Linked DNA regions of Astyanax mexicanus. The protein of the gene in region 1 binds, or shares a complex with, the protein of each later gene. Links are inferred from orthologs where the notes say so. Each region holds a gene or a part of one and is shown on either strand. Other genes may lie near its edges.

Region 1 (9,851 bases):
CTACTACTTGTTAGCATCTTTAGCCTTGTAGCTAAAGTATAGCAGGTGGTGTGTTGTTATTGAGTGGAGTTAGAACAGCTGGTGGGACTGTAGTGAACAGCTTTATTCTGTTGGATACTGCAGTAATTCATTAGCGGACACTGTTCAGGCGCTGAGTGGTGAGAGAACACTCCAGGTTCTTTTTGTCTTCATCTGGTAGGCTGCTATTATTCTCGTTCTGTACACACACTCACACACACACTCACTCACTCTTGAGTCTGTGGTCCAGATGTGCTGCAGCTGGCGCTGGTATGGATTACTGGGCTGAACTGGAGGTATAAACGATATGAAAGCTGAGCCGCTGATGTCAAACAGGATGTCTGCTGATTTATAGCTGTGCTTCATGTATGTAGACACATGTACAGGAGTACAGTATTGGGGCACCTCATATTGATTGATTCTTCTAGACCTGTCTACCAATTTTCCTAGCAACCTAGTAAGTGTGTTTGATGGCCAATGTGTGCGTAGATGTGTGCATTCCCTCTCGCACTGTTTAAATTTGCGATAAAATATGCATTTTTTTAATATTGGGCCGATAATTGTCTGTTCTGCGATGTAGTGTAAAATAAATACTTTTGTACACAGCAGTCTTTCTCAATACTTAATGCTGTAATGTAGCTAACCTAAATCACGTGGTCTAGCTATGAGCATACTGGCCAGTGTTTAACCTCTCTCACACAGAATAACACCTCACAACTTATACAGGTGTGTGCAGCTGTCCCCTGAGGTAACACTTTGTGATTGATTTACTGTAAATACTGCTGTCAGTGTCACTGAAACTCTATGTGACATCTCAGTTCAGTGTTCAGTGCTGTTAATAATTGGTCTCAGATGATGTGCAGAGTTGTAGAGTTGCCCTTTTGCCCTGAGTATGTGATTAATAATAAACTAGCTGAGGTGTGCAAATTGGATAATCTGTGAATAATACGTTTAACAACAACAAAAAAATAACATGTACCCAGTTTTATGCCTCTCAAGCCTTATTCAGAAGGGATTCGTTTCTCAGGGGGTCCTGGGGTAATTTTCTCTTTTATGAGGGGTCTTTTTATTGCCGTCCGGAATGTACATGTGTGTGTTTTTCTCAGACGTACACTGAGAAAGTTACAGGCTGAAAACCCCTTTTTTCGTTTCCACGGAGATCCATGTAAACACATCAGCAAGTGAAAATGGAGGAGCTACTGAACACAGACTGTACAGTGGGCAAGACTGTAACTAGACATGGATATACTTTAGAGTGGTCAGAGGTGAAATAAGTTTTGATAGAGTCATGATGCCCCTCCCATCCAGGAGGGGAAAAAAACACAGCCTGCCCACAGTAAAAACTGATTGACTCACAGACTCTTTGCAGAGAACAGGCCAATCAGAACCCTCTCTGTTTTGCATGCGGTTCATAAATATGCACACAAGGGGAGCTCCTTTCTCCCTTTCCCTCTCTTTCACTCATGCGATTATGGAAAAAAGTCTGTGTCGCGCTGTGTGCGCGTTTGTGTTCACACTTGGGCCACTAGTTCTAGATCTAGTTCTCGAGATTTTTTCTGACTTGCGGGCATCGGGAAGCCATTATTGATATGCTCCCGCAACTTTCAGGAAACTTGGGAAGTCTGGTGTGTACTTGCTGTTTGGCCATAGGTTTGTGCATCGTTTGCATTGTAAATGTAACGGTTCACATACTTCCCTGTGTGCAACATGTGTTAGTGGAGGCTTCCACTAGAGGGCAGCTCAGGCATTAGATGATTGATGGACAAAACACCCCACTGGCTCCACCTCGACTTTATTTCTGCTGCATTTTCTGCGAAATGAGGACATATCTGACACATATATTATCTGTTGCAATGCAACTCAAGTCTGATCAACCAGATTAGAACTCATGCAACTTTTTGATCAAGCATATAAAAAATAAATTTCTGTAGTAGATAGGAAAATGGAGGACAACAGTGAGGGAGGGGTTCAGTGGTAGGATTGTGAGGTACTAGACCTCATAAATATCTGTACGGGTGTCTCTTGTAATTTGGCATTGCCGCAGCATAAAAGGAAACTAAAAAGCTTTAAAAAAAAAAGGAGGCAAACCATAGCTTCTTAGATTCTGGCTAGAAGGAAACTGAAACTTCACATGAAGCACTGTTATGTAGCATCTGCACATTACACAGCGCAGACCAGTGTAAGCTATAGGTCAAATTAAAAAGAAATTGTGTACCCATACAAGTTACATTTACTAGCATTTTATTTGACACAACTAATATAAATATAATTGCATTTTACATATTTTTTGTCTTAAGAAGAACAAGTGCGTTTAATTGCAGATAATCAGAATATTGTTGTGATTAATCTGATTTTTATTGATCGACACCCCAGTACAGACTAAAATAAGGTGATTTTGGCCACTATATGACCTGCTGTGTGAATGAAACCTTAGAGGCTCAAATACACTAAATGTCCAAATGTTTGTTGTGGACACACCTTCTCTTTCTAGTGAATCCATTCTAATACGTTTTTTAAGTAATGTTTATTTGTGCTCATTGCTAACACAGATGCAGATCCAAAGCTTTTCTTGACCCTTTAGAGAAGTACTTCAATAGAATAGGTCTATTCTAGAGTCAAATGTTTTTAAATTCCAGATGTATAAAACATCTTTTAAAAATAATGTGTATTTTTTTAAGTGAATTGGCTACTCTGAGAAAGCCAACGCTGACATACAAACGACTTTTAAAGTGTGTAGAAAACTAACTGATTATTTGAAACTGAATTATTTTTTTAGAAAGGTATGAATCTATTAATTCAGCTTCAGATTCTGTTTCAGGATCCTCTCCAGAACTGTGTTTATAAGGTAAATGGTGATTGTGAGGAGTGAGGGCGGTGTGAGAAAGGGGAAAACCTGTTGGGCAGCTTTACCCGTCGGCTGCTGTCTCCAGGGTGATCCAGCAGGGCAGTGGGTTTAGTGCCCGGCGAGGGCGGGACTACACACTTATCTGCTCCTTTAGAAAGCCGATTGTTGGAATGCTAAGTGGGCTGCAGCTGAAAGGCGAGCCGGGCCGGGCTGGACTGAAAGCCCAGGCTCTGGAGAGCTGTTCTCCTCAGCCTTTCTGAAACCGGGCAGAAAAATGCTAAACATGCAGAATCATGACCTCACTCTTTAGAACACAGGCTATTTATAGAGCACACTCTTTACAACAACCCCTATACTGCTTTATGTGTTAGCCCTTACAAAGAGAATGCTAACAACCCTAAAATTTCATTTTTACACCTTCACCTTCAGTCTACAGTTTCTTACAGTTTCTTACATTTGATTGCAAAGAGTATAAACCCAAAATATTTCATATTTTATTTGCCCAACTTCATTTAATTAATTAGTATTAATATACTTCACATTGATTTCTGCATTTTAGCACCAAAACTCCGACTAATGCCTTTTATAATTTTACTGTGCAGAAAGAAGTCGAAGCCTTATCTTCATCATGTCCAGAAGCACCGTCCACTTCTCTGATGAGGAATATTGGATGAACATCTTTTAAACAGGCTATTGGCTGTTCAATGGGTTCATATGTCTTTGTAAATCTACCCCAAGGAACAAACGGCCACACTGACACTCTCATGGTCTCTTCAGGCATTTCTGGGCAGGCCAAGCCCTTAAAGAACCAGTCTGATAAAGCGTGTGAGGCGGGGCCAGAGTGGAAGAGCCGTTTCCAGCAGGTTAACACTCGTTAGGCCTGCTCTTTCATGTGCTGAAGATGCCTGAGGCCAGGACAACACTCACTGGTAATGAAAATTGCAGCATTATTATAGACTATGAAAACAGCTTGCATTCAGCTAACGCTGCTAGCACTGATTACCCAATCCAGCCCAAGCTTCAGTTGTCTTACCAGTGTACACTTTCCTGCACCAATAACATCACACCATTTCACAGGCCTCCAGGAGCAGTGACAAGAACGTTCAACATTTATTAACACTGCAAAACACCTCACATTGCATCTCTTCACACAGATGCCATTACAACCCCCACACTGTAATATATGCAGTGCTGAAGGAAAGTAACTGGACAAAGTATTAATGTTGAATATGCTGCAAACCTGGCATGCAGTTCTGTCTCAGACAGATATGTAAATGATTACAGGTGAGGACTAATTAGATGCTGGATTTTACCACAAGAGGGCATAAAATGTTTTCCCTTGCTACCCTATAAGAAGGCTCCTAGCAGCTACCTTTGGGTAGTTACCTCTTGGTGAGAGTTTGTTGACTGCTAGACATGCCTCTACAACATGGTAAGCGCTTCAATCCTGCCATTGCTAAAGAGCGACACACTGCCCCAACTGCTGGTGTAATAATCTGGGGAGCATCACATGCAACAGTTAGTCACCCCTAGTAGTGAAACGAGGAACACTTACAGCTCAGCTAAATGCAGGACATCCTGCAGACACACATGTTGCTTACTCTCATGGCTTTTAAATTGCCCTTTTTCAGCAGGATAATGCTCACCCACACACAGCAAGGGTTTCCCAGAAATGTCTTCACAAAATATGCTACACCTTGTCCTGTCCGGACCTGAATTTATGAGAGCACCAATCTAGCATTTACGGGAGCAGCTGGCATGGCAGCTTTAGCAACCTACAAGTATAGGGCAGGATCTACTGGTCCAGCTGCATCATCTGTGGGTAAAGGTGCAGGATGTCATTCGGAACCTGTATACCTACATGTTCAACCGTATCATCATTACAATCACACAGATAAGTATTCTGCTAGCATAAAACATAGCAACACCTAAACAAACACCTAGCAACACCTATACCATAGCACACCTTAGCAACTGCCCAGCAACACCTTAGCAACACCTTACTATACACCTTACTAATACTTTAGCAACCAATTTTTATACCAAGGCAATATCTTACCAAACATCAAGCAAACACTTAGCAAAACCATTGCAACCACCAAAAAAAATATATCCATTCCAAATAAAAATATTGTCATTTAGAGCATTTATTGGCAGAAAATAAGAAATGGCTGCAATAACAAAAAAGATGCAGAGCTTTTAGACCTCAAATAATGCAAAGAAAACATGTTCATATTCATAAAAAAAAATCAATATTTGGTAAATTAACCCTGGTTTTTAATCACAGTTTTAATGCCTCTTGACATGTTTATCTACACCAGTCTTACACACTGCTTTTGGATTCAAGCAATTCAGCTTGGTTTTATGTCTTCAATGTGATCATCCATCTTCCTCTTGATTATAGTCCAGATGTCTGGTTAAATCATAGAAACTAATATTTTAAAAGTGGTCCTTTTTTTTTCAAGAGCTGTATGTTCAAATATTTGCTGACACCCTTCTAATGAACACTACATTTAGCTACTTACCACTCAATGCTAAAAGAGGTGTGCAAATGCACACAGCACAGGTTGCCTAGACCCTGTACATTGCTGCCAATAGAAAAGGACTGTCTGGAGCAAATAAACTAATATAACTAAAATATATATAATCAAATCCTCAGAGCAATGAGTCCAGAATCTAGTAGGAAGTATTCTCTGAACAGTAGAGACAGTATAAATCTATATATATATATATATTTATACAATATATAAAATGTACTCTAAAAAGGAGAATAAACTATTTTTTATTACTCTTGATTTTAGTAGAAACAGTGGATAAACAGCTGTCTCAATACTTTTGGCCATAAGATTTATGTCAAGATCATTTTTTCAACGTTAAGCACAAAACAGCCAATCGTAGCGGAGGAGGGCGTGGCCTGTCGGAGTACGGGTGTGGTGTAAAGCTTTGATCGAACTTTTCGTGTGCGCTCGTGGGTTTCCGTAAAGTGACCGGGAACGCGCGCGCGCTCGAGAGAGAGAGAGAGAGAGCGAGAGAGACTTACTTGGGGAAAGTGAGAGACCGGACTGGTTTACCGTGTGTGTGTCTGCGGGACGGAGAGCAGGTGAGTTACCGGGGCTTGTCTCGTGGTTTAGACGGGTTGGGGGCAGTGTTTCCCGTGGCAGACTGTGGGACGGAGCGCTGCAGTCTCTCCACCGATCCTGGAGCTCCACCTGGGCACAGCCTGCCCCACAGCCCCCGCACAGCGCCCTCAGCCCGGACTCAGCGAGAGGGGGGACCGCTGACTGTGGAGCTGTGTGTGTGTGTGTGTGTGTGTGTGTGTGTGTGTGTGTGTGTGTGTGTGTGTGTGTGTGTGTGTGTTTTGTAAACCTTTAGTGACAACCAACAGGTTAGTGAGAGAATGTGTGTGTGTTGGTAGGTAAGAGAATGTGAAGTTTTAAGACAGCAAGTATGTGTGTTTAGTGGCTGAAGATATGTTTTAACTTCTGTGAAAGAGAGAGATAGAGATAGATAGAGACAGAGTGTGTGTGTGTGTGTGTGTGTGTGTGTGTGTGTGTGTGTGTGTGTGTGTGTGTGATGTTTGTTTGAGTTTAATGCCAACAAGTGTGTGTGTTTGAGAGTTTTGGAATGTGGACCTGTGTTGTGTGTGTGTGTGTATGCGTGTGCCTGTGTGTGTGTTTTCATTTTAAGCATGCATGGCACAATAGAAAACATTTGGTATTAGTTGCTTAATTGAAATTTAAGCATCAGGTAATGCCTGGAATTTGAAAATTGACTAAAATTGATCCGATATTAGAGTATCAACTGATATTGGAATCTGAAATGATACAAGACTGGTATTTAAGCATCACCTGATACAAACAGATATTAGTATTTCAGAATCGAGAGACACAACATGATGTGATATATAAGTATTGTCTAATACCTGTCTGATATTAGACTGTATGAATACTGATCCAATATTGGTTCGCATTTATCCCATATTGGGACGTGATTATCGGTTGATTTTCAGTCTTTGAATTTATATTGGAATTTGGGTATCATCTGTTACTGATCCGCAAGTGGTTTTCTGATCTGATATTGAAATTAGCGTATAATTCAATTCTGGCCCAATATCTGTAATTAAGTTACATATCAGTCTGATATTGGAATTTTAGAATTAGTCTAGTTTAATATGGAGTGTTTGATAGCAGTTTTTTAAATCTACTTTTTACCTGCTTATTGCATATTGGCCAGTTTTGCGTGATCTGATATCTGATTCCAGAATTATCCTCTAATATCTGATCTGTGTCAGACTGGGTATCAGATCTGTGCCATCTACAGTGTTTACCGATAGTTAAGTGTGTATGTGTGTGTTTGCGTGTGTATTATATATACACTATATTGCCAAAAGTATCCACTCGATTGAATTGCGTTTGGTGCTGTAAGGCTTGGAGATGCTCAGCCATATACTGCTGCTCAGCTCTCTACTAAGGCCACATGAAGTTGAGAGGTCTGTACTGATTGGTTCCTTTGTGCACTGTGTTCTTCAGCATCCGCTGACCCCATTCTGTTCAATTTGTTTCCAGTTGCTTCTATTTTGTTATAATATCACAGTTGGCTGTGGAATATTTAGTAATGAAGAAATTTCACAATTGGACACAGGTGCTGCATTCTATCACATTACCACACTGGAATTAACTGAGCTCCTGAGAGAGACCGATTTTTTCACTAATGTTTGTAGAAGCAGTCTACATGCCTTTATACACCTGTGATTGTGATTGGAACCTGTGTTCAATGATTTGGATGGGTGAGAGTATACTTTTGGCATTATAGTGCATACAGTATTTATTTTGTTTTTGCTTTTTTGTCATACTGATATTTTTCTGATTATCAAACAAACATTATATCACACAAAGTTAACCTGAGTAAGTATAAAAAGCACTTTTAAAATAATAATGTCATTTATTAAAGGAAAACTGTCCAAACCAATCTAGCCCTGTGTGAAAAAGTGTTTGCTCCCTAAACCTAATTTCTTCTAATAACATGGTTGGGCCACCCTTGGCGGCAACAACTGCAATCAAGCTTTACCGATTACTGGCTATGAATCTTTCACTTCTCTTTTTGGTGTTTGGAATTTTGTTCAACTTTTGTTTGCAGAATTGTTTTATTTCAGCCACATTGAAGAATTTTCGAGCATAAACAGCCTGTTTAAGGTCATCCATAGCATCTCAATCAAGCTTTGACTAGGCCATTCCAAAACTGTAATTTAAGCAATTCAGAGGTGGACTTGTTAATTGTCCTGCTGCAGAACCCAAATACGCCTAAGCTTGAGGTCATGAAATGATGCCCAGACATCATCTTTTAGGATTTTCTGGTAAACAGCAGAATTCCAGGTTACATCTATTACAGCAAGTTGTCCAGGACCTGAAGCAGAAAAGCAACCCAGACCATCACACTAACACCACCATGTTTTACATTAAGCATGATGTTCATTTTCTGAAATTATGTGTTAGTTTTTACGCGAGATGTAACAGGACACACACCTTCCAAAAAGTTCCACGTCAGTCCAAATAATATTTACCCAAAATCCTGGGGATCATCAAAATGTTTTATATGAAATGGGCCATTTTGTTTTTTTGGTCAGCAATGTTTTTTGCCCTGGAACTCTCCCAGTTTCCTTATTATTAATGAATCATTAACACTGACCTTAACGGAGGCAAGTAAGACCTGCAGTTCTTTAACTGTTGTTCTGGGTTCTTTTGTAACCTCCTGGATGAGTTGTCCATGCCCTTTTTATAATAATTTTGGTCAGCTGGTCCCCCCTGGGAAGGTTCACCTGTGTTTTATGTTTTCTTAATTTTTGTGAATAATAGCTCTCACTGTGGTTCGCTGGAGTCCCAAAGCCTTAGAAATGATTGTGTAACCTTTTCCAGACTGATAGATGAACAATGACTTTGTTTTCTGATCTGTTTTTGAATTTCTTCAGATTGGGTCATAATATATTGCTTTTTGATATCTTTTGTTTGCTTCATTTTTTCAAACAGGTTCTATTTAAGTGATTTCATGATTGTATAGATCTGGCAGTAACCAGGCCTGGTTGTGGTTTGTAAAATTGAAGACAGCTTTCCAAAAAGTGTGATTAATCACAGTTATTTTATGGGGTGGAAGGGTTGACAAAAAATGCCAAAACAAAAGAAGTCTGAAAGGGGGCAAATACTTTTTCCCACCACTGTATGTGTGTTTACTGTGATCATGTGACCATCACAGTGTGTTTATCTCCAGTTGGCTGCTGTGTGTGTAATCAGTGACAGCAGACTGTGTGTTTGTGTGTATGTATGTGTGTGCATGTGTGTGTTTCCAGGCTTCCCTTTTCTGCTCCTGTTACTGTGTGGAGGAATGTGGCGTTCCTGATCCAGAGAGGAAGGTGAAGTCCGTCCTGCTTAATTTTTTTCGGAGCTGAAAACAAAGCAGAAGCGAAACCTTCTGAGCCAGGAAAAGCCAGCAAAAAGAACCGGTCCGAAAGAGGGACGAGCATGGCATCCGGCGGGTTCAAAGCCAATGCTGCCACGGATTTCTTGGAGGAGTGGAAGGCTAAGCGAGAGAAGATGAGGGCCAAGATGCTGGGGGACATTGCCGCGGCGACCGGGCAGTGCCCACCTTCCGGCCTGCAGGTCACGGGCAGCACCGGCACCAAACCCCCAGAACCGAGCAACAACGGAAACTCTGCGGCCGTGAACTGCGTGGCCTATCCGGTTGTTCGGTCTTCCTCCTCTTCTGCTCTGAGGAGGCCCGAGGATGATCCCAACTCCAGGCCAGCCGAGACGCCTATTAAAAAGGAGCCCAGCCCCCCTGCTGCCACCGCCTGCCCGGACAGCGATAAGGAGAGCCCCCCGCACGGGAAAGGCAAGGAGAAGAAAAGCTCTGGACCCAGTGCCAGAAAGGGAAAAGGTCAAATAGAGAAACGGAAGCTGCGGGAAAAGAGGAGGTCAACCGGGGTCGTCAGCATACC
Region 2 (10,378 bases), on another chromosome or scaffold:
CTCTGTTACCTTATCGACCTCTCTTAGGTAAAAGACTGATGTGAAAACCTGATAATATTGCGTAGCAAATAAATTAACGTTTTCATTATTAGGTTGCATGCGCTCCTAAAAAAATGTCCTATGTTTGCATTTCTCCTTCCCTGCAGTTAATCAATTCCTTTGTTAAAACTACAGTGACTCAAATCAAAAGGATTCAAATGTGCATAAATCTGTGACTAAAGGTCTTTCAGCACACTACACAAATCCCACAGTGCATGTACTAGTGTATGAATGCAAAAACTGCAAGTGAGCTGACATAAGCCTGCCTCTGTAACAGTGCAAGTACATACACAGCACTGCAGATCCATTTGGCACTTAAGAATGAAATCAGTTTTGTAAATAATTGGCACCTGTGAGCATGAATGAGTACAAGCCCCTTTGTTGTAGGATTGGTACAGACCCTGAGCACTGCCGGGTCCCACATTTACCCACTTCAAGGTACTGTCTGTTCCCATACGCTTGAAAGCAACACTTAAGCCAAAACAACTTCACAAACTACTGAGCTAAGTCAACACCAGGACACTGTGTGCTAGTTGTCACTCACATGGATCCAAATGGCTTTGAGCATTCAGGTTTCTGGGCATCAGTCAGGGCACAGATGGACAAATGAGATTAAATCACTGTTTGCTCTCTCTAATTACTAAAACAGAAGCAATTTTTACATCATGACCAACCTGCTAGAAGTGGATGATTAAATTGCTTACCAAACAGAAGAGACATTAGCCAATCAACAGTCAATGTAACCCTTTAAAAGGCACGAGAACTTCAAGAAGTGACTGTTCTCTAGCCACCCTATATCTCTTACCATTTGCCACTGTGCCTTTGTAATGAGATAATCACATGTTATTTACTTTACCAATTAGTGGTTTCATTGATTATAGCTGACGGGTGTACACATGTTTATTAACAAAACCTTCTCAAAGCTAGTTTCAAACAAGGTCCTGTGCATCACACAGTCAATTGTGAAGAAAGTGTCAGTAAACCCATCATGAACTGAGCATAACTGCAATACCAGTAAGTCCAAATCTGAGGCAAAGTTGCACACCCCCACAACCTCAACTAGCTAAGTGTCATGCAAATCTGCAGAGCTTTTGCATCAAGCAAATGCTGTCTGGCTATCTTGTTGTGTTGGCACTGGGTAGAGACACAAATGAAAGCAAATGACTATTGATTAGAATATATACTCAATTATAGTGTTTTTTTTTTTTTGCATCATATGCAGTACTTCCTCTTTCTCAATATTCTCCACTGATAAAATCTCCCTGTAACAGAACTCATATCAGCACCCACTGAACACAAACAGCTTAGTCAAGAATCTTACAGGCCCACATTGCTAAATGCACTAGTAATCGAGCCAACATGCTCATGTGGGGCTCACGATGATGGAACATTGTGTGTGTTCTGAGAGGGTGTGTACGCGTGTTGCTACTGGGACCCAACTGGCTTTCCAAATTGCTCATGACCATTACAGCCCAACTTAATCTCACAAAGGTACCATGTTAGGTGCTCAACCCAGTCATCGGTGTCAGGCATCCACATGGACAACAATGGACGAAATTTGGACAATTATCTGGTTCCCATTTGGGCTACCCTTACAGGGCCCAGTGGGCTCATGTTATCTGGGGGGAGCCAAAAAAAGCTGCACTGAACTGAACTGCAGCTTGGTGACCTAGCTAGCAGTGGATCTCTTTCCATGTGTGCCCCTAAACAACCCCACTTCAGTTCAGACAGAAACACTTTGCTGGTTCCTGCTCCTGAGGTTAGAACTTCAAACAGTGCATGAAAAGATTGGCCAGTACTTAAAATGAAAGAAGGGGCAAGATGTGCTGAACTACAGGAGGAAACCACAACCTGGCTGCTTTCCTAGAGCAGCTGTTATCAAGCCTGGCTAAGGTTAACATGATCAGAACACAAGCTTTCTTCAAAAAATATCCTGCAAACCCCCTTTTTTTCAGTGTGATACGTTAGTTTAAACAAACATCATACTGCTTGCTTACTAGCTAGCTAAAAAGCTAGGTTAACATGAAAATCACAGGGAAAAATGCCTAAACCTCACAAAAGGTTTTCCCCATGTTAAAAGGCACAATAAAGTCTTTAAGAGGTCAGTTTAAAGAATGTTTTTCAATATAAATGTGGAAAGTTCCTTACAGCCTTTTAACTGAGGAAGAAAAGACAGGACAGGGCATACATGTGCTTTTGTTCATCTTATTTTCTAACATGTAAGGGTACTGGGTTATGGCCAAGGATAAAACTAGCTCTTTTAAAGTAGAGTATAGAGTATTTGTATTTGTTTTTGCTTCTACTGCTCTGTTCCAATAATTTGAACTATTTAAAATGCTTTATTAAAACATTAGGTTCCTTATAACTAGTTCTGACCTGATTTCTAGAACAAAATATTGTGAACAATTAACTAGAACGACTGAATCTCAGTCTATATAACAAGCTAGTTGCTTGCTGTGAGACTACAAGGCAGTTTGTGAGCTGTAACATGCTTTTATTTCATAACTAGCCATAGAGTCTGCAGGAGGTCAGCAAAGAGTACATTAAAGTAAACTGAACTGTAGAAAAATAATAGTAGTTACAAAGCTGGAGTACATTTAATGGTAAACACATATTGCTACATATAGGTTAGCTAGCTAAACACACTGCACCAAGATACACCACAACAGGATATTAGCTAGCAAGCTAGTTAGCTTGTTTTAAGATTATGGCGGTAGTTAAATCCAGGCTTGGTTAATCAGCAGTCTTGTTTATCTAGCGGTTAACGCTAACAGTCTACATATGGGCTACTGTGAGACAAAACATCCCACAGTCTGACACTAAAAATGAAACTGAAATGGTGGCCCACGTTCACAGCAGGCTTTGTGTGTGTGTGTGAGAAGCAACGTTAGCTAGCGGTTAGCTAAGCTATCTATGGGGCACAGGCTGAGGAAACACTGAAGAAACAACAAACATTGCTAGCTACAACGTCTATGCTATAGAGAGTTTTAGCCTAGCTTAACCCATCTCGTTTTAAACAAACAGCGGTTACTATGGCTGTGAACTGCCCTTATGTTGCTAGGTTAACTAAAGCTAATCAGCCTAGATTAGCTAGCTAGCTAGCTGACTAGCTAGTGTTCAAACAGAGGCATATTATTCGGCACAGGCTGGGATACACTGTATAATCTCGTTAGATTAACAGTAACGTAAGAGTTACACTAGCTATGGTGTGTGTGTGTGTGTGTGTGTGTGTGTGTGTGTGTGTGTGTGTGTGTGTGTGTGTGTGTGTGTGTTTGCAACACTTGATGTTTTACTTTGATTTTACCAAATTGAAAACCTCTGGAATATAATCAAGAGGAAGAACAAAGTTTAACTGCTTGAGATTTTGGTCTGAAAGCTCTGCAACTTTTTTTGTTTTGTTATTTCAGCCATTTTTCATTTTCTGCAAATAAATTCTCTAAATGACAATATTTTATTTGGAATTTGGGAGAAATGTTGTCCGTAGTTTATAAAATAAAATAACAATGTTCATTTTACTCAAACATATACATATGAAGAGTAAAATCAGAGAAACTGATTCAGACACTGAAGTGGTCCCTTATTTATATAACGTTATATTTTTTTATTATAGCTAACATTTATTTATTTATTTATATATATGTAGTTAACATAGATTAATATGCGTAGGGCAGCCAACATATTGAAGCAAAGACACTGCGTTAACTAGCTAAACATAACCTTACAAACATATTACTCTAGCTTAACCTACATTAATTAAACAAGTAGTGGTTAATAAGGCCTCATGTTGCCAGGTTAAATGGCTAGTTAACTAAGCTAGGTAGCTAGCTAAGCTAACCGTTACCTTGCTAGTTAGCTAATTAACCAGCTGTTACCTGTAGCCAGCTAGTTAACCTAGCGAAAATACAATATCTAACGACACGTTTCCCCTGCTTTACGTAAGGATGCAACAGACTAATCCTTTATATCATTTAAAACACGACTTTTTAATCTAACATAGCTAACGCCAGCTAGTCTAATTTCCTCAATGTTTTGTCTATAGCAGGTTCAATGGGTTCCTGTGTGCCTGAAGCTAAATAACGCTAGCTAGCTTACCACACAGCGTCTGCCGTTAAAAACACACGGGTAGGTAACCTAGCTAGCTCGATATGCGAGACTACATGAGCACATCCACTCCAAACAAAAGCCCCAAAATGTGTGAAAAAGACAAAGCAACAGACTCACAGGCTTACCTGAACTTCACGTAGACTACACAGGCTAGCTGAACCAAGGCAAAGCGGCGGAGACAGGAGCTTCTTTCAAACGGTATTCCTGTGCAAAGCCATGACTCTCTCTCTCCGCCTCGTCCCTCTGCTTCTCTCTGCTCCTCTCCTTTTTTAGGTTGGGCTTGTGTTGGGTAATATGATGGCTGCTACAAACAGCCCTGCTGTCACGTGGTAAAATAGCTCCCAGCTGCTAGGAACCTCCCTCCCTCTCTCTTCTTCCCTCCTTCCCTCCTTCCCAGCTGCACTGGCTCTCAGTAGCCTGTTGCTCTAAACACTGCTCATCAGCTGATGTGTGAACATGAGGTTAGCATAGGAAGTGCCTACTGTGCTAGCTTACATTTACCCTGTTGTTTCTCTAGATAGCTTCGTCCTGGGTTATGTTTAAATGCTAATGTGCTTAGCTGTGTGTTTATGCATATTTGTGTGGAACAGGATCTGCTCTGGAATTATTTAGGAACAGTTTGTCCCTAAATCCCCCTGGTGTTTAATTTTATGCGCTTGTTTGGTGAGTGGTGACAGCACCTCTGCTGCTTTGCTGTTTCCCACACTCACCCTTTCTCATTTCAAGTTTAGTATAGATATGTATACACCAAATGTCTCCTGTTTGAATCTTCAGTGAAGCAGACATGTATAAAGTACTAGAGACCCAGACTTGAGTAAAAGTACATTTGCTAAATCAATAAAGTGACTTGAATAGAAGGTGAAGTGTTCTTTAAGCACCACACCTAAGTACTGAAGTACTCAACATTTTTTGTGCTAAAGTATTGTGAGCAGTTAAAAAATAAAAATTATACTATTATATTATATATTATTATAGAAGGGAAAGTTTTCAGAGTGAAAGGCAGAATGGGAGCAGCATGGTCTTCTTATCACCTTGATCGCTTGATTCACTCAGTGATGAGGAGCTTCATCAAACTCGGTGACACTGCAGATCATCTAGTAATAATTTCAATGGTAACCTTATCGAAAATATTACAGAAATGGATCATTTGTTTGGTTCAAAATCGGTCCCAATCACCTTCACTTTACCCTACAAATATTAAGTCTATATATAAAGCTAGTTGATCAACAATCAAACAATGTAATGCATTATATGCCAATAGTAAATAAATATATATATATATTAAATATATAAATTTATTAAATATTAATATTAATATTATATATTATATTATATATTAAATATTAATATTATATAATATTAAATATAAATATATATTTCCTACTATATCAATAATATAAAGATTCAATTTCAGAGAATGTGCATGTCATTATGAAGCAATGTTAAGCATTTTGTACTGTCTTCAGGAGGGGATGTTTGCTGTCAGCCAAGAACAGAAAGCTGAAGCTTCAGTGGGCACAGAATCACCAAAACTGAAATGTAGAAGACAGGAAAAATGTAGCATGGTCTGAGAAATCTAAAGTTCTGATAGCAGGATCAGAATTAGATGGCTTCACTTGAGCCCCTTTAATTAATGTCGCCATGCCATGTTCACACTGGCCATAGTTCAGCCTCACCTACAATAAACACTAATACAACTTATACTGCTGTTGGCATTTCCAAGCCATGTTACGATCAAATTATGAACCATTCCAATCCAATGATATTTGACATGTTAGGGTAATTTGTCTACTTTAATACGTTCACTTGAAGCAGACAGAAGGCCTGTATCCTGTTTAGCTCCAGGTTTATCAGAACACTTCCACTTCTGTGATGACTGCCTAACTGCCTGCTGAGTTTCTGACCACCTGTCTAGATGTACTCTCTGTGGGTTGACTCACTGAACCTCCTTCGTGTAGACCGAGTGGCTGCTTTCCATATGATTCAACACACAGCCGGGCTTATTAACAACCTCAGCCGTCTGGAGACAAGCTGAACTCATCCGCAACCCTTTCACAATTACACACACCTCTCTGGCCAAACCTCCCGGTTACAAGTGTCTCATTTTGTATAGAGAAAAAAACAGAACGCCTCGATTTGGCAGAGCTAAGTGTGAAACACTGGATGAAACAATAAGCTGTGATGAGGAGGACTGAGGTCTGAATAAGCAGTAGCTTACTGCAATAATGCTGAGCAGTGTTGAGAGCAAGCGGCATCAGGGGAGCTGTGTGTTGTAAAAAGGCTTTACTGTCCCCTTGTGTTCGCTCTGGCCGTACACACCTCCTCTGACTTGAAATGATCCAATCTGCACGGTTGCTCAACTCATTTGAAACAATAACATGCCCATGTTTGAACAAGCTTCGTTCCCATATTTCATTCAGTGCGGTTTATTTGTTGGGGGCACTTGCTTGGATACTCCTTTTCATATCCAAATAATGATGTTCCACTTTTATAACGTTCTGCTGTGGCACACAAGCTTGGGTTGCACAACTTTTATAGAATCTTACAGAGTTTTACAGAATTGGGCCAAGAACAGCTTAGATCTCTTGCATGAAAACAAGAAAACACATTCTTTACAACCTTCTCCTGCAGCCCCGGAGCTCTGAAGACACGGTACCCTTGATCAACCATAAAGATGTCATACGCAATCAGCCGTACAACCTTACCACAACCCAGCTGCCCTTCTCGTTTCAGGAAGCCGTCTGGAGCCAGCTGTGAGAACCAGCTCAAGTGGACTGCTACAAGAACCAGATGAGTTTTGCTTGGAGGAGCAACTATCAAGCTTTGCTGTTACCTTGTGTGCTTTTTTTGTAAGTAATACGTCTAAAAGGACACCAAACATTACCAGAACATCATGTTACACCAAGACCAGCAGAAGGGCAGCACATCAAAGGCATACTGAACAGCTTGTAATGACACAGAACTTTGTGTACTTGGAATCTGTGCAGAAAGGGCAATTACAATGGGTCTCATAGCATGGGAATGAGTGATGGTTTGTGGCTGCTGGACCACCAGTTTTATTGTTACCCTCAGCGTGCTACTTTTGCAACTTCCCGCCATTGACTCTGAGTAGTCTTCTTAAACACTTGAAGGCCATTTATCATGGAAAATCTAATATAAAATATAAATAGTAGTATGTAAACATTTAATTAGATAAAATAACAAATTGTATCATTTACTTTACAGTCTATTTGAGATGTGTGTAGGATGTAAGTGGAGAAAATATCTATTTTTAATTTTTCCATTTTTGTGTAGTCAATTTAATTTATCTCCACCATTATTGAGCATGATATAGGACACCAAATAAGAAAAGATATAAGTTACATTAAATGATCAGCTATGTCTAGGTGTTCTCTTTTTTACATTGTCTCAACATGTCATGCTGAACAAGTTTTTTTTTACTTTTTCCGTAAAGTTACCATTTTGCAGATACAGGTCTTTTGTCTGAGAGCAACAATATTATGTAGTGATATTGATTCCAGAATTTGTCTTTGGGATGAATAAAGTATCTTTCCATCCATCCATCCATCCATCCATCCATCAATCCATCAATCCATCAATCCATCCATCCGAACAGCAAGTTCTTGAAGTGAAAACTCAATATTTGGTATATACTAAAAAGTTGAATACATGCACAGTGAAGAAAGACAAAATTTTAAGAGTAGGTTAATTTAACAGTTGGAGATAAAATCCACAAAAATCACATTGCAGAAATTATGTAAATTCATTTGCATTTTGCAGAGAGAAATGGGTATTTGATCTCCTGCCAACCATTAAGAGTTCTGTCTCCTACAGACCAGTTAGACGCTGCTAATCAACTTGATACTACCTGCATTAAAGACACCTGTCTTAAGTTGTCATCTGTATAAAAGACTCCTGTTCAAAGACTCATTTGATCAGTCAAACTCCAACCTCTATAACATGGGCAAGGCCAAAGAGCTTTCTAAGGCCGTCTTTGTCAGTGGGCAAACAGACAAAATCAGCAAGGGATCAAATAAGTATTTTATTCACTGTAGATTTTTTTTCTTTTATTTTAGGAGGCAGGCAGTGTGTGCGCCACACTGCTCCAGGGGTCTGGGGATGTGGGTTCAATTCTTACTCTGGTCTCTCTCTGTGAGGATTTTGGTGTTTTCTTAATGTGTCCACTTTTGGAAATTCCTTCAGGTACATTGTGTTCTTCCCACCTCCCAAAGACAAAGATGGTGGATGAATTGCCTGTGCTAAATTGCCCCTAGGTGTGAGTAAAATGTGTGTGTGGAACCCAGCAATTGACTGGTGCCATGTCCAGGGAGTATTCTAACCCCACATGGTTAGGAAAATTGATGTATGAATTATTTTTATAATTATTCTCAATTATTAAATGCATAATTAAGGCCAATACACTTTTGAAACATGTTTTCATACAATCGCAAAACCTTATCCAATTTAGTTTTCCTTGATTAAAGCCTTTTTAAACTATGCATTAATTAGCACTTATTAGAACACTGTGGATAAGGCCGAGCACTAGTGAATAAACAAGAACATTCATTTTGAAGCAATTAAAGGTCATGTTTGCATAGAGGGCCTCATTATTTTTTAAAGCCCATAAGATTCTCCTATTTGTGCCAGTCTTTAGAACAGGCAAGTACCTGTAGCCTTAAAGCAGCAGAGGAACTCGCTCCAGCTCCACGGCCCTTCTGTTGGGTCAACTGTGGCTTTGGACGCCTCCATCGCCACCACACAACAAGCAGAGACCTCCAGCAGCTGCCAGCTCAGCTCGAGGTGACTCATTCACCATGTTTCCACATTGGAGCCTCCAGAGAGCTCCACACAAGCCCCTCTTTCTTTTCACAAATGGATTTGGAGCTGGAGGTATGCGAGTGTGAATTGTGCCATGCCAAAAGGAAATTTAACATGAGGTAATCTCATTGTCACCCCCAAACATTTGCACTAATCCACTCTCTCTTGTTATTGAGTCACAGAGTGTGTGCACTGTACGCGGTGGAGAAATATTGCATTGACAGTAAATCCCCTCAACCAGATATTTTATCAGCTTTAAAAGCCTCACAGGGGGCTGATTTACATGTCTACAGTGCAGACCGCAGTTATTTTCTACAGACCCATGCCTGTCAAAACGTGGAGATACACTCGTATATCAGGTTTCGCTACATAAAAAAAATGAGTGGACATAACAGCAGTATTATATTTTGTGTAAATCATTTTGTTTTTCATATTTTATGTCTGATCCACTCTGACAACCACTCTAGCAAAGCTCTAGCTGAAAGTAAAACTGAGGGATTGAAACAGTATAGGGTGCAACTTTTCTTAACAGATCACTTTCTTATGCAAAAGATACTCACGCTAGAGGGGCCAACTATATATAATAAAGCACAGGATTAGTTGTGTAGTTTCAGCTCTTGGCAGTGTGTGGATGGACTGCAGGAAAAGCACTTTACTGCCTCCTTGTGTCTACCACTGCACTCACAAGCAGCAATAGCCTTAAGATTGCTCTTATACTCTCATAAGGAATGAATATGAATGAGATCAGATGTGATTTGCTTGGCAGTTAGTTGATAAAGGGGAGAGTAACGCACAGCTTAATGTGGGGTGAAAGGTAGCATACTTTAAATATGTGCTGACATGAATTAAACCATGCTCTAGGTCATATTATTGCTATACCCATATGGCCATATCATCTGCTAATGTAGGATATAGTATGATGCATATATCTTGAGAATCACCCTGAAGACGTACACATTTTTACTGTAAGCATTTTTTAATTAAATAGGTTACTCTGCCATTTGCTACAAAGATGTGTGCAATCATATAAACTCAGGACATCGTTTGTTTTTTCTATTGAACTGGATGATCAGGGTGCAGCATAGTGAACGGATTGTAACCATTTGTGCTCAGTTATTCCCAGCTCAGGCAGGCTACGCAGTGATGGCTATTATTAATTTTATGTGTTATATCATAGTCGTCCTTATTTGTCCATTGTCCTTTACAGGGTGAGGATGAAAGGTCGAGTGTGCTTGAAGGTAATGAGTCTCACTTTACACTGCTGGTGGTGGTGGAGGAGGAGGAGGGCCGTGAATTAAATTACCCAACACTCAGCTGTCTGCGAGTGAATTTCACATTTTCCTGTGCAGCACTAGCACAATATGCTGAGGGTGCTGATATCTGCAGGAGAGGCATGCAGACGCTGCTGCTGCTGCCT

Evidence for each region.
Region 2: the proteins of pawr (region 1) and spsb1 are in contact, whole or in part, in a crystal structure (PDB 2JK9), measured with the Homo sapiens proteins. The link is inferred for Astyanax mexicanus from reciprocal best matches to the Homo sapiens genes PAWR and SPSB1. Residues at the interface, in NP_001341661.1 of Homo sapiens: Glu68, Leu69, Asn70, Asn71, Asn72, Leu73, Pro74; in NP_079382.2 of Homo sapiens: Arg77, His78, Pro79, Val80, Ala81, Gln82, Gly110, Thr111, Tyr129, Val216, Trp217, Gly218.

Annotation. Positions count from the first base shown.
Region 1 is NC_064409.1:25,119,730-25,129,580, forward strand, and holds the start of pawr (PRKC apoptosis WT1 regulator protein), read left to right. Parts: upstream 1-5,811; 5' UTR 5,812-5,963; intron 5,964-9,203; 5' UTR 9,204-9,375; coding exon 9,376-9,851. UniProt on the Homo sapiens protein: Pro-apoptotic protein capable of selectively inducing apoptosis in cancer cells, sensitizing the cells to diverse apoptotic stimuli and causing regression of tumors in animal models.
Region 2 is NC_064420.1:36,946,208-36,956,585, forward strand, and holds the start of spsb1 (SPRY domain-containing SOCS box protein 1), read right to left. Parts: upstream 4,515-10,378; 5' UTR 4,261-4,514; intron 1-4,260. UniProt on the Homo sapiens protein: Substrate recognition component of a SCF-like ECS (Elongin BC-CUL2/5-SOCS-box protein) E3 ubiquitin-protein ligase complex which mediates the ubiquitination and subsequent proteasomal degradation of target proteins.